2 linked regions of the Caenorhabditis elegans genome follow. The protein of the gene in region 2 interacts with the protein of the main gene of each other region in a biochemical or structural test. Each region holds a gene or a part of one and is shown on either strand. Other genes may lie near its edges.

Region 1 (6,752 bases), on a different chromosome or scaffold from region 2:
ACATTTGTCCCGGACCATGTTTTGAAGCTTCTCACTGATATGATGTGTTTCGATGATTTGGCTCTTGTAAGTTAAATGGTCACTAATTTCAGCGGGAATTCAAAAACAATTATGGTTTTCAGGTAAAATGTGCCTTCAAACTTCTCGGTGCATTGGAGCTATCACTTGCGGATTTCGAGTACTATAGAGTGCACGAGACTGCTGCTCAGTTCCAGTACAGATTTGTTGAAGCAGACGAGTTGGTGCGAAAAATTGAACAATTGCGACGGGAGCTGTCAGACGAGTCGTTGCTGGATCAAGATGCATGTTTTTTTTCAAAGAAAAGTTTAGGGTAACTATTAATTTTCCATTTTAGATCCCAAATCTCGAAATGGATAATTTCGATCAGACAGAGCTGCTCCCAAAACTTCTCGATAATCTCCACTTGCATGGTGATCAAGAGGAAGGGCACTACAAAATGATGGAGAATTATGAGTGGGCCCTTTGGGAAGTTCTCATGGTGCACCTGGTGCAATCAATTAAGACTGGGAATCGACGAGTGGTGAGTTATAGATTAATTTTTACAATTTAAATTATAATATGATATTTCAGATCACAAGAGCCATAATCCACCACCAAGAGCACCGGTTTCCACTGGCACTTTACAGAAAATACGAGATCCAATCACTGATCCGAGCTCTTCCTCGTAAGATCTCAGCTGCTTCACAACTATTTGATGAGATCGAGCTAATTGAGGAGTCCACATTGAATTCCCAGCATATTGAAGCTTTCCGGGAGGTGAAAAAAGCTGTGAACGGAATGGAAGAAGGAGAAGAAGCATGGCCAGTGCTCATGTCTTTGATGATGGGATTCTTGAAGCAAGACGATGGATTTGTGAGTTTACCTCTGATGTTTTTCTCTATTTTCAAAATAATATTTTTCAGGTTCACGGAGCCGTTGAGTTGCTACTGAATTGCAATATTTCACGGGAGCGATTTGTCGAGTTTGCGGTGGAGAATACTCTACTGAATCTTCCATATCGAACTGAAGAGATCAATGAGCTACTGGTGAAGATTCGGAGCATGGAACCGCGTCAATAATAGATTTAATTTTCTTAAAAATTTTTTTTGTAATTTTTCCAAAGTTCAAATAAAATTGTTCTTGGAATTATTCAGCCTTACTAGTAATAGTTAGTATGCAAAATTTTGCAAATATTACGGTACCCGGTCTCACCAAAACCAATTTTGGTTAAATGCAAAAAGGTGTGTGCCTTTAAAGACATAATTGCAAACTCTCAGGAATTTTCATCGATTTTTTTATAAGTAGGTTTTCCTAAATCCTTTTTTCGAAAATTTATTGATTTTTTTTCTATATTTAATATAAGCTTTTTAATATATTGCGATCGGAAAAAATTCGATGAAAACTCCGCGGCCACGAAAATTTGACTTTTATGTACTTTTTTAAAGGGTGCATATATTTTCGCATTTAACAAAAAATTGCTGTGTTGAGACCTGGCACCGTATTTTTAGCATAAAAATGGCAGAACTTCGCGCCTGGGTAACATATTTTGCAAAAAGCATTTGGTTTTCCTTGTCAGATTCAAATTCCAAACCTTCGCGCCAACTTCACATTATCAATAGGGCGCGATTGCACGCAACACTTGCAATGTTTTTAAAAATTAAAAATTGTTTGTTTTCGATTTATTCTCTCGTCTTTTTCGTCTTAATACAATTTTCTCCCTTTTTAAAACGCAATATTCTTTCAGAATGAGCAACTCAGAGCCCAGCACATCAACTCCCTCAGGAAAAACAAAGAAGCGCGGGAAAAAGTGCGAAACTTCTATGGGAAAATCGAAGAAATCGAAAAATTTGCCTCGCTTTGTGAAAATTCAGCCAATTTTTTCATCTGAAAAAATCAAGGAGACCGTGTGCGAACAAGGAATTGAAGAATGTAAACGTATGCTTAAAGGCCACTTCAATGCTATCAAAGATGACTATGACATTCGAGTAAAAGACGAGCTGGACACAGACATCAAAGATTGGTTGAAGGATGCGAGCAGCAGTGTTAATGAATATCGCAGAAGGCTGCAAGAAAATTTAGGAGAGGGCAGAACTATCGCAAAATTTTCATTCAAAAACTGTGAAAAATACGAAGAAAACGACTACAAAGTCTCCGATTCCACAGTTACATGGATCAAACCGGATCGAACGGAGGAAGGAGATTTGATGAAGAAGTTTCGTGCTCCGTGTTCACGTATCGAGGTTGGCGACATTTCCCCGCCAATGATATACTGGGTTCCAATCGAGCAAAGTGTGGCGACTCCGGATCAGCTGCGGCTCACGCATATGCCGTATTTTGGCGATGGTATTGACGATGGGAATATCTATGAGCATTTGATTGATATGTTCCCAGATGGAATTCATGGATTTTCGGGTGAGAAATTGCAAAATACCGGATTTTTTCCATTTTCTCTGAGAAACCCCCAAAAATCGAAAAAAAAACAGGCGGGACGAAGGTACCATTATTTCTATTTATTTTTACATTTTACATTCAAATTGCCTAATTTCTCACTTTTCAGTGAGAAATCGCCGTAAAATTTTTTTGAAATTTTATTTCAATTAATGTCATTTTGAATGTCAAACACAAAATTAGTTTTAAAAAATAGCCTTGAAAGTGAAAAATGCGAAAAACAAGTTCCCACTTGTCCACGTGTAGTTCTAAATGTTTCATAAATCGACATGCATCAAACCTCGGGACAATCTTGCAAATCCTTAGCTCCAGGTATTTTTTAAGCGAATTGATGTTAAATTTTTCAGACAACTGGTCCTATGTCAATGATTGGATACTCTACAAACTATGCCGTGCTGCGCTCAAAGACTACCAAGGCAGCCCAGACGTATTCTACTACACCCTCTACCGTCTATGGCCAAACAAAAGTTCACAGAGAGAATTTTCGTCGGCTTTTCCCGTTTTGTGCGAGAACTTTGCTGAAAAAGGATTCGATCCGTCGAGCCTCGAACCATGGAAGAAGACAAAAATCGCTGAAGGTGCTCAAAATCTTCGAAATCCGACGTGTTACGCGTGCCTCGCATATACATGTGCGATTCACGGATTCAAAGCCGAAATTCCAATCGAGTTTCCGAATGGTGAATTCTATAATGCGATGCTTCCGCTGCCAAATAACCCGGAAAATGATGGAAAGATGTGTTCTGGAAATTGCTGGAAATCGGTGACGATGAAAGAAGTTTCAGAAGTTCTTGTGCCGGATTCTGAAGAAATTCTGCAGAAAGAAGTGAAGATTTATTTCATGAAATCAAGAATTGCAAAGATGCCGATTGAAGATGGAGCGCTCATTGTGAACATTTACGTGTTCAATACATATATTGTAAGAGTACGCGATTTTTGCGCCAAAACCTGGCCTCGACGCGACAAATTTTTGTTAAATGCGAAAAGGCGTGCGTCTTTGAAGAGTACTGTAATTTTAAATTTTCAATAATTTTTCTAACAAGGGAAGAGTTCAAAAACTATTCCTGAATTCGGAATAAAAATAGTGTCATGCGATAGTTGGAGGTCTGAGATGATCCCTCCGAAACATTTTTATTGAAAAATTATATTTCCAGTGAAATTAATTTCTCGCAAGTTTTCTCTTTTTTTTAAAGCTATAAAGCTTGATTTTGCACCTTTTTCGTTATTTTGTTTTTCATTTTGCGTTTAAGAGTTTGTATATTATGTAAATCAAACTATTTTAAACAAAAAATAGCGAAAAATAGGAAAAAAGGGTGCAAAATCGAGCTTTATAGCTTAAAATGCAAAAAATCCATTCTCAGCCATTCTGCGAGTTTGTCAAAAAATATGTCGACGAAGACGACGAGGAAAGCAAAATTCGTTCATGTCGTGACGCATATCATCTAATGATGTCGATGGCAGAAAATGTGAGCGCCCGACGACTTAAAATGGGACAACCGTCGAATAGATTGTCAGTTGACGCGATTTTTTATATAAAAAATTGAATTGTTTCAGAAGTATCAAGGATCGAGTCAACAACTTCCGTCGTAATCAGTTGAGTCAGGAGAAGGCGAAGCGTAAGCTGCGTCACGACAGTCTGCGTATTCAAGCATTGAGAGATGGTCTGGATGCGGAAAAATTGATTCGAGAAGATGATATGCGTGATTCTCAGCGAAATAGCGAGAAAGTTCGCATGACCGCGGTGACGCCAATCACAGCGTGTCGACATGCGGGTGAGGAATGGAAAACAATTATGGGGTTATTCGTGAAATGTAGAAAAATGCAATAATTTGTTTTTATACATTTTTCACCTACCCATGTGCATCGAACAATGTAGCATTAATTTTTTGCATTTTTCGACATTTTTCGGCATTTCCTGCATTTTTCGACATTGGGCGACATCCCACTTCTCATGCTGAAGGCGAGACACGCAGAGAAAACCCGCGGGTGCATATCTCTCTGCGTCTCTCGCCTTCAGCATGTGAAGTGGGCTGTCGACCGATGTCGAAAAATGCAGAAAACGAATATTTTTTTGTATTTATTGGACACACATGTATTTATTGGACACAAATGAATGAAAACACATTTTTGCACATTTTACTACATCGCATTAATAACCCCATTAATTGAAAATTAATTTTTAAACATTTCAGGCCCATGCAACGCGACAGCCGAAAATTGTGCATGTCGTGAAAACGGAGTGTGCTCGTACATGTGCAAATGCGATATAAACTGTTCTCAGCGATTCCCGGGATGCAATTGCGCCGCCGGTCAGTGCTACACGAAGGCTTGCCAGTGCTATCGAGCCAATTGGGAATGTAATCCGATGACGTGTAATATGTGCAAGTGAGTGCACAGGAATTTTTTGAAAAGTTTTTTTAGTAAGCTTTAATTTTTCAGAACTTCCAGAAATGGAAATTTTAAGAAAGGAAAAAATTAAACTTTCCAAAAAAAATTGATCGAACTGAAAATTTCTCGAAAAAGAAGGACCAAATGTCCATTAAAAATCTTCAATCAAAATCCCAAATTTAAAAAAAGGTATATAAAATCAAAATAGCACAGAAAAATCGAATTTTGTACCTGAAAATTCTCAATTTAAAAACAAATTCAGATGCGACGCCATCGACTCGAACATAATAAAATGCCGCAATTTTGGAATGACTAGAATGATCCAAAAACGAACGTATTGCGGGCCATCGAAAATAGCAGGCAATGGACTTTTCTTGTTGGAACCCGCCGAAAAAGACGAGTTCATTACGGAATACACTGGTGAACGAATTTCCGATGATGAAGCCGAACGACGCGGTGCGATATATGATCGATATCAGTGCAGCTACATTTTTAGTATGTACTTTTTTTAGATCACGGTGTCGCAGAAAAATGTTTTAAATTTAAATTTTTTTTGGGTTTTTAGAGACAACATTTCGATTTTTTGAAAATCAAATAAATAAGAAAAAATTATTTCAAAAAATTAACAAAATATCGAAAAAAAAAACCATCAAAAGTTTTCTTTTTTTTTGAAAATTCAATTTTTCGGAACAAAAAAAAATATTTTTGCAGACATTGAAACCGGGGGTGCGATCGATTCGTACAAAATTGGAAACTTGGCACGATTTGCCAATCATGACAGCAAGAATCCGACGTGCTACGCGAGAACGATGGTTGTCGCCGGAGAGCACCGAATTGGGTTCTATGCGAAGAGACGGCTTGAGATTAGTGAAGAGCTCACATTTGACTACAGTTATTCTGGAGAACATCAGATAGCGTTCAGGTAGATTTTGCAAAAAGCTTTTCGGGTCTCGAGACGACTGCAGCTACCGTACCCTCTAGTTTTTTCCACTCAATTTTTAAAAATTTATAACACAAAGATTTTTTTGGATCAAAAAAATCATGATAAGCCGTAGAAAATTGTGGTTGGTTACGGTAGCTGCAAATTTTCGGTCGCTTCGAGAACCAGTTTTGTGTAGACTTTCAACTTGACTTTTTGAATAAACTTTTTCCAGGATGGTCCAAACCAAGGAGAGATCCGAGAAGCCCAGCAGGCCCAAAAGCCAGAAACTCTCCAAACCAATGACTTCTGAATAATCTTTTTTCTTGACTTTTTTTCTTAAATTTTTCCCGTTGATATCACTTTCAAATCTCAAGATCTACTTGTTTAACTGTTATTTCCCTAGAATCTCATGTTTCTGAATACATTTTCCTTCCTTCAAATTTCTGAAAACCATAAATATAATCGAATCAAAATTCCTCCTATAAAATCGCCCGACACAGCACAATTTTTTCACTTCTTCCTTAAAGATGGTGATTTTCTTCTTATTTTTCTTATTTCCCATGCTGCTGGAGGCTTCGGAAACGTAAGTTGGATTTTTTTCTGCAGGAAAATCTGAAAATGACAAAAATTCCAGTAGCAGAAGCTTAATCGAACCACCGGCCGTAATTCCTGAGAAACTCAAAACATTTTGCCAGATCGATCCAACGTACGAGATTTGCGTGAAGCTTGGCATTCCGAAAGCTGCGAGAAAGTTTGCAGCGAGATCCAAAATCCAGGGAAGACAGAGAAAAGGCGTCGATTGTAGGCAGGCCCCATTGCATCCGGGTTGTCAGAGATAAAAATGTTCCAAATATTATAGAAAAATTCCAATTATAGAAATGTGTACCTGGACAAGTTCATCGCGTGGAAAATTCATCACGATTGCGAGGTGAATCCAAATGGAGAATTTTGCCCGAAAACTTTGAATCGGAGAGCTTCTGCTTCTTGTCCATCCTCC
Region 2 (7,954 bases):
TTTAAAATATGTCTTCAAAAGAGTACGGTAGTTTTTTATTTAATTCGCAGTGTTTTTTTATTTTTATTTTTAATAGTAGATGAGAAGAAACATCAAAAATTGTGCTTCCAAGAGTCGACAGTCAAAATTCGTTAATCTAATTTGAATTTCGCGCGAAAATGTTTCAAATGATTCTCGGCCGTGTACTCCTCTCGGACAATTAATAAATTGTTTAATTTTGGATGTTTGTAGAGGTTTTTCGTGTTTTCTCATGATTTTACGGGAATCCTTTTGATTTTTTTGGTTAAAAACAAATTATTGGTGGTCTATGAATGCATTTTTCACTGTAAAATAGTGGAAACCGCCGTTATCCTCTTGAGAAAGTTCTAAAGTTCCATAAATTGTTCAGTTTCGCGGTTTTTCATTGAATAATTTGTAATTATTGTTTTTCGAACGTACAATTATCAAAAGAAAATCACGAAAAATCGCCAAATATTCCAAAATTCGATCGAATGGAGGTTTATTCTTCATTCCCTTCAAAATAGATTTATAATAATCTCTTGTTCGAACACTCCCTCTTCCCGCAGCGAAAGTGTAATAAAATGTCCAATAATCTAGCTAGATCTAGTTCAATAACTCATCAATTATATTGCCCTTTGATGTAGTTTTATAATGTCATAAAGTGCACACTTCTAAGAGTGGGCAGCTAAAAAATGCACTTGTTGCTCTTTTTTTCGCACCCTTCATACTTTTTTGGATCGATTTCTTTCATTTGATATTCATAATGACCTAATGTTTCCGCTGTACACTGTATCTGCACTCACGTGATGGGTCTCGCCACGGTAATAATATTACAAAATGATTTTGCCTATGCGTCTTTGAGTTTACTGTAGAAAATTAGTAATACATTTTTCAGCTCTACTTCTTTCTTCGCAGATTATTTTTCTGTGAGAACAAGAATACACAATTTATCCATTTCCATTCAATGAAAATGTATGACAGCGTGATTTCGATAAATCAACAATTGAATCCTTTTTCTTTAAACTTATAACTTCAATTGACATATTTTTAATTTCATTGTAAAACTTGGAATATAATTTCGTTGGTTTCAGTCTCTCATCCGTTCCAAATTATAATTCCAAACTCTCGAACGCGGAGACATGCGCACGCTCCTCTTCCTTTCCCTCGAGTAGGCGTCGCTCCTTCTCTTTTATTGATTTGTCGTGCTCTCCGCTCTTGTTTGAACGCGACCAATATGACTCATTTTTTTAATATTTAAAGTTTTTAAGCACATGCATAGTGCATTGCTCGCTTTCTACCTCTACGCGTTGTTCATGGCTCTAAAAACAAAGAGCGTACATTTTTTGAAATTCTATTTAAATAAATAAAATTATTATTGAGAATTCATCCGAAATATCTGTGAAATATCAAGCCAAACATATTTTTTATAATCCTAAAGTTAATAAAATTAAAATAAAGTATAGTCATTTTGTAAATTTGCTCAAAATGACAGAAAATGGACCGTAATAACCAAATATAGATGTTAAACATGCATAGAACTTTTCTAAATTTTTTTTTTAATTTTGCAAAAAGGTTCTTACGGTACATTTTTAATCAACCATTAAGTTTTACAAATCTTCATAGGTATAATTTTTTAATGAACAAATTGTTTGACTGGCAATAACCACGCATTCCTTCATTCGATTCCTTATCGAACCAGCCGTCTGTCTGAATATGATGTGAATTTCTTTTTTATTCTGCGTCTCCTCAATTGACATACTCTCTACTCAGTTTCCCAGAACGAAGTCTCTCTCATCTGACATTATATCTTTTTTGCGCTGTTCGTTTCACATTTTTCTTTCTCTCTCTCTCTCTGATTGGCGATTTCGAGATAAATCGATAATCTCGATCTTTGCTAAACTATTTTAAAACACAAAAAATCATTGCAGGGTATGACTCCGGCGACGGCAGAGGTGAAAGTTGGAGGGAGAAAACGGAAGAATGGTTAGTTGGAGAATAGGACATTTACTGGAATTTACAAAAATCAAATTCTTAAAATCAATTTTTAATTAATTTTGAAACATAAATCCCAATCGCGCCGAGACCCGCGTATTCTAACACAACGCTCACCTTTAAAAATAGTTAATTTTTTATTCGAGAAACTCGGCCTGAAACTTTTTATTTAACTTCTTGTTTAAATTGTAATTTAAACTATTATAATTAAAGTTTTTCCTGTTTTCTTAATTTTTCCACCAGTGAAAATTATTTTCGGCAATTCTACAAAATTACCTATTGTGCCATTTTGTTCCATCATATTTTATTACAAAACAGTGTCAAAAAATAGAAAATTACTTGAATTATCTAAAAATAACATTTATTTAAGCTGAAAAAATTTGAAAAATTGTTCAAAAATGGCTTGAAATTCGATGTTTCGTTTAATCAGCAATTGGCAACTCTCAGGCCATTTTTGAACACTTTCCCAAAATTTTATGCTAAAATAAATGAAATAAATGTTATTTTCAGATCAATAAAGTAATTGTCTATAGTTTGAAATTAATTTTTTTTCTGTCAAATTATAGTAATTTTTAGCATTTTTGAATTAATACTTTAAGCTTATTTTTGCAGATGAGCCGGTTTTTATCAAGACAAAACAATCGAGGTCAGCTCGTCGAGAAGAAGAAAAAGAAAATCTTTTGAACAAATCTCTTCCGTCAACTCCAACTTCATCAGAGGCCGGAAGTTCTCGGGAATCTTCAAATCCAGTCACAAGCTCCAGTAGACGAAAGAATCCACCTACCAAATTAGAAAATATTCAAAAAACGTTGCCGACTTGCAGTGACGGACGTTAGTTTTAAAAATCATTAATTAAAATCTCAATTTTTCTATTAATTCACATTTTTTCAGTTGAAATTCGCAATTATGTGAAAAAATATGGATTGCCGGAAGATAACAAGTTTCTCGTTCGTAATGTCTTCGACAAACAATTATTATTTGGAAAGAAATATGTGTGTAGAAGGCGTGTGATTAAAAGCATCGATGAATTTTTCCCGCGACTAAAGACCGATGCGGTTTGTTTGAATTTTTGATGGATTCATTTGCAAAATAAATTTTTCTTTCAGCACAGAGAAAATGGTTTATATAATTTCTGTACTCTACAATTCATGAAAATATCCTCCTGGGGAAGTTCGATGGATGAGAAGATTTGTTAGTTTATTTTTGAAAATTTTGAAAAATTTGAAACGAAATCTCGATAAAAACACTTAATTCGAAAAAGACCAACAGAAAATCACTTTGAACTAAAAATATCTATTCAATATTGATTGAAACCATATTTCACAAGAAATAAAAGTCTTTTTGAAATTTGGTTTTAAAAAAAATTATTTTTTTAATTAAAAAAGTCAAAAAAAATTGAAAAGTTCTGATTTGCATTATAAAACAAAAAATGAATTAAACTCAATAAATATATAGCCAGAAAACGCGAAAATGTCGGAATTCGCTTTTTTTTTCAGTTTTTGCAATTTCCTAAAATCACACAAAATTTATAAAAATTATTTTTTTCCTATAGTTTAAAGCAAATTTAATGATTTTGAAATGTTTGAGGTTTTTTTTCAAAAAGTAAGAACAATATTTCCAAAAAAATGAAATTATTTTCTAATTGTAAATTAAGATTCAAAAATACACACACACATAGTTTTTTTCGGTTTTAAAATTATTTTCTCATTAATTCATTAAAAAAAAGAACATTTTCAGATGTTACTTCTGCTGCAATTGTTCAAAGCTACGTGATAATTGTCGACGATAATGATTCAGTCACCTGCATTGAAAATGGAATCTCAGTTATTCCAATGGCGAATAGAACGTTACCATCTATCTCCTATAACAGTTCAAATGTAAAAAATATCACTTTGACGGGCCCTGAACTGAAAAAGGCAAAAAACGTATATCTCGCAGTGATTGTGAAACGAAAAACACCAAAACTTGGAGAAAATCGAGTTGGGACAAGTGAGTGAAATCATTTCTTTTTTTTAAATAAAAAGTTTCTTTTGTAGGAGGAAAATCAACTCGAGCATCATTCGAAACGGCTGCTTCCTCAGAAAACTTTCAGCAACTTGTTCGTTTTGGGTGCACTTTGATGTATGATAAGGATGCTGAAATTAACTGCCTAAATGACGGAGTTCAACGTATTATCTTACTGTAAGTCGCTTTAAAATTATAAATGCAAAAATTTAAAAACTTAAAAATTCAAAAAAAATTAAAATACTTTAAAAGTTTTTTTTTCCAAAATTTATCCGAAGGTGAATCTATAAAATTAAACTGGCCTGCTAATTTTTTAAAAAGGGGGTTTTCTGAAGATTTTGAGCGAAAACTGTTGTCAAAATAAATAAAAAACTGAAAAACATTTTTTTTCGAGAAACACGCGCTCAAATTGACGGGTATACGGTAGAAAATATTTTTTCAAAAAAAATTGTATAATGAAAAATATTGCTCTTGATTTTTCCAGTGATCGAGAAGAAAAGCCAGCGTATTTGAAAATTTTCGGGAAGGCCGATGAACCGGAACTCGAGAATGCTTGGATGAATAATGTTAAGCATTTGGAGTTTATAAGCGATACAAATTATAACAAAGAGGTAACGATGAAGAGTTAATAAACTTTTATAAATAATTGATTTTTTTCTACAGGATTCTCATCTCGCTCGTCTAATCTTCTCTTCAAATACTCATAATTATTTCGATAGACCGGACATTTCAAAATTCTCTCCATGGCAGCCGCGATCCAGAAGGACGACACTAAAATCTGGGTGAGAAATTCGATTTTTTCTCTTTTTTTAATTTTGTTTTTATCTGGTTTTTGCACGACCGTAATCCCGCACGCTTATTGTGTTTTCCATCATTTTCAGAATCTCCGTCGAGCCAGGAACGAGTTGCGATGAGGATTGTGGATCGCAATATGAAGAGTTCGTTTTTGATCCCTACCACCTGATTTTTTGTTTGAATATCTAATTTTTAAATCACTAAGTTTGCTGGATTTTTTCCCTTACAGAATTTCTAATTTCGGGTGCATTTCTTCTTTTTTCTTAGTTGGCTGTAATTGATACCTTCCAAATAGCTTGTCGTGATTTTTGAAAACCGTGAAGCTGCATTTCAGAATTTTTGAGTTAAAACTGGGGGGTTTTGTCCAAAATTACAGAAGGCAATCTGCATACACCGGATAGAACTTCAAAAAAAATCATCTAAATTTTATAGTTAATCACTCACTACATTGGATATTCGCGGAACTTCATGTTTCTATCCAACCATAGATCATCTAACTGTTCTTCAAAATTGTTTAGAAAATATAATTACAGTACAATCACTCTCAAGCAGTTACTCCTTGGAACGAAAAAGCTATGCGGAAGACGTAAGAGACATTTGACCCGACTCACTTCAAGATGGCCGTGTTTTTCAGTCGATCCGACGAAGGTAATTCTTAAAAAACTATAATTTCAAAGCTTAAGTGCAATTATTTCAGATCAATTCATATTTCAATGAAACTGGTGTCACTTTGCTGGAAAATTCGTGTTCCTACCGTCCTGGAACTCAACGAAGCATTCCAATAAAACCTACCCGAGTGATCAGAGTTAGAGAAGAAACTCCAGTTTCCGTTCCAATTGAGGTTATTACGATTGAAGATGATTCAGATGATTCACCATGTTTTTCTGCGAGAAATCGAGCACCAGGTGGAACACGGAAATATGGATTAGATTTTATACAATCTTCGGGTCATATGCCATATATTCGTTATGTTTATATGAACAGGTAATTTGATTTAATGCAATCCAGTAAAAAAATATATGATTTGCAGAGCAAATGACTTAGTGCCCCAGCTGAATGGCGAAGAAAATGGAAAAATCGAAGGTCTTATGGAAGCATATCCGATGAATAATGCTCACATGTATTCAGATATTGAGTTCCTGAGAAAAGAAAAAGTAAGAATTGTTTTTAAAAAAAAGACATAAAAGTTGTAATAATTTTCGCTTTTTTCACTAAAATCGAAAATGGAATTTTTTGTTTCGATTTACTGATTTTTGCAAAAATAAAACAAAACTTTAAGATTTTTCTTTTTTCCGATATTTCGAAAAAATTGCATAATTTGTTTTCTTTTTAGAAGCAATTTGTATGTATTTCTGAAAAAGCGAACAAAATTGTTTCCTGAAGGCGAAATCTATTTTTCCCTCAAAAACCCAAAAAAAAAAAAAAAAGTGAGAAAGGAAAAATTGAGAACCTTTCATTATATTTTTTGAATTTTTTGAATTGACTCCAAAAACAGGAAAAAAAAAACAAAAAATCCCAGCCTTGATTACGATATTAAAAATTTTCTATTGTGACATGTTGCTCCAACAATTTGTATTTAAAATTAATGTCAAAATATAGAAAAACACTCGAATTATCTGGAAATAACATTTATTCTGGCTGAAAATTTTGAAAAAGTACTCAAAAAATGTCCTGGAAGTTGCTGATTGCCAATTATCGAATTATTGAATTTCAGGTAATTTTGAACACTTTCTCGAATGTTTTAGTTGAAAAAAAGTTATTTTCAGATAATTCTAGTGATTCCTGCACTGAACACTAAAAAAAACTTGTCGCCGCAAACAAAAAAAATTAAAGCAAAATTACAAATTTCAGTTGAATCTTCCGAAGAATGCTCAAAAATATGGCGAAATGACAATTCTTGACTATCCACTAACGAAGACGGAAACGGACGAATATAATAAAAAGATGTCTGTGATGAATGTCAAAGATTTTGCGGTTAAACCCAGAAAACCTATTCCAACAGTCGGAAATACCACTTTAAGTTTGGATTTGGAAGGATGTCCTATATCGACATTTTCAGAAATATTCTTCCCAAGTGGAAAAACTGAACTATTCAATATTCTATGCAGACAGTAAGTGTTATAATATTAAGTCATATATTAAAACCCAATTTTTGAAGTTTCTACTCTGAAGCTGGACAACGCCCTGGATGCTTCTCAGCACAATGGAAATCTAGAGTTTTGGTGAGTTTATTGAACATTCAGGACTAGATTGGCAAACGTACGGAATTGCTTAGTACAGTATTTTTGAATCAAAACCTTTAAACTTCTTTTCAACGAAAATGAAAATTATTTTCAGAGTCTTTGATTCTACAAAAAATGAATTAGCGTACTAAAATAAGCATCTCAACACTTTTGCCAAGATTTGCCTTAACTTAGAACGCATTTTTGAATTTTTCATAAATAATTTTCAGACTGGCTTCATCAACAAATACCATCAGTACATTTTCGACATGAAATTGAATTCTTTATTCGAGAAACAAATAAATCTCATCGCTATGGTCAGCCCTGACTGGAAATTAGAAGATTTTGAATTGCCCATGGTTCGATATAAGCAATTGAAAAAAGAATGGAAAAATCGCCAACGAGATATACCATCTTCTAATTAGATTATCCCCTTTTTTCCTTGTATCTTTTTCTTTTTGGAAATCCTGTGTTTAATCTCTTTTCCATTTATCAATCAACTATACCAAATCGTGGTGGGTGGCAATTCTACTAAATGACATTAAAAATTAGTCTGAAAACATAGAAAATAATTTGATTCTTCTGCAAATAACATTTGTTTCAGTTGAAACACTTGAAAAAATGATTAAAAATTACCTGGAAGTTGGAAATTGTCGAATTTTGCTATTCGGCAATTGGAAACTTTCAGACTATTTTTGTGCAATTTTCAAATCTTTCAGCTGAAATAAATGTTATTTTCATATTTTTAAATAAATTAATTTTCTATTTTGAGACTAATTTTTAATGAACAATATTGGCCAATTTATGGAATTGCCAAAAGTAATTTCCACCCACCGCTGATCCCAAAAATACTACAATTTTTAGCACCTTTTGACCCAAAGAACGTCGTACTTCAATGATCTTCCAGATTACACGAGTCATCACTAAGTTTTTCTTCATTT

Evidence for each region. Proteins that work in one complex are often made in the same cells at the same time.
Region 1: of the proteins of mes-3 (region 2) and mes-2, one has a biochemical effect on the other in vitro, tested with the Caenorhabditis elegans proteins (one study listed by BioGRID).

The regions. Positions count from the first base shown.
Region 1 is NC_003280.10:14,382,231-14,388,982, forward strand, and holds mes-2 (Histone-lysine N-methyltransferase mes-2), read left to right. Parts: upstream 1-1,742; 5' UTR 1,743-1,745; coding exon 1,746-2,412; intron 2,413-2,795; coding exon 2,796-3,364; intron 3,365-3,806; coding exon 3,807-3,955; intron 3,956-3,999; coding exon 4,000-4,217; intron 4,218-4,637; coding exon 4,638-4,830; intron 4,831-5,095; coding exon 5,096-5,328; intron 5,329-5,544; coding exon 5,545-5,755; intron 5,756-5,987; coding exon 5,988-6,069; 3' UTR 6,070-6,224; downstream 6,225-6,752. Other genes in the region: sdz-26 (SKN-1 Dependent Zygotic transcript), read left to right, coding at 1-66, 123-302, 356-541, 592-873, 924-1,079; F26H11.8 (uncharacterized protein), read left to right, coding at 6,283-6,338, 6,390-6,594. UniProt on the Caenorhabditis elegans protein: Polycomb group (PcG) protein. Catalytic subunit of a the mes-2/mes-3/mes-6 complex, which methylates 'Lys-27' of histone H3, leading to transcriptional repression of the affected target genes.
Region 2 is NC_003279.8:4,994,913-5,002,866, forward strand, and holds the start of mes-3 (Polycomb protein mes-3), read left to right. Parts: upstream 1-1,926; 5' UTR 1,927-1,931; coding exon 1,932-1,983; intron 1,984-2,604; coding exon 2,605-2,823; intron 2,824-2,883; coding exon 2,884-3,047; intron 3,048-3,098; coding exon 3,099-3,183; intron 3,184-3,729; coding exon 3,730-3,981; intron 3,982-4,028; coding exon 4,029-4,173; intron 4,174-4,480; coding exon 4,481-4,607; intron 4,608-4,659; coding exon 4,660-4,778; intron 4,779-4,877; coding exon 4,878-4,934; intron 4,935-5,324; coding exon 5,325-5,439; intron 5,440-5,488; coding exon 5,489-5,775; intron 5,776-5,821; coding exon 5,822-5,945; intron 5,946-6,642; coding exon 6,643-6,902; intron 6,903-6,949; coding exon 6,950-7,013; intron 7,014-7,243; coding exon 7,244-7,438; 3' UTR 7,439-7,954. UniProt on the Caenorhabditis elegans protein: Component of a Polycomb group (PcG) complex. PcG proteins act by forming multiprotein complexes, which are required to maintain the transcriptionally repressive state of homeotic genes throughout development.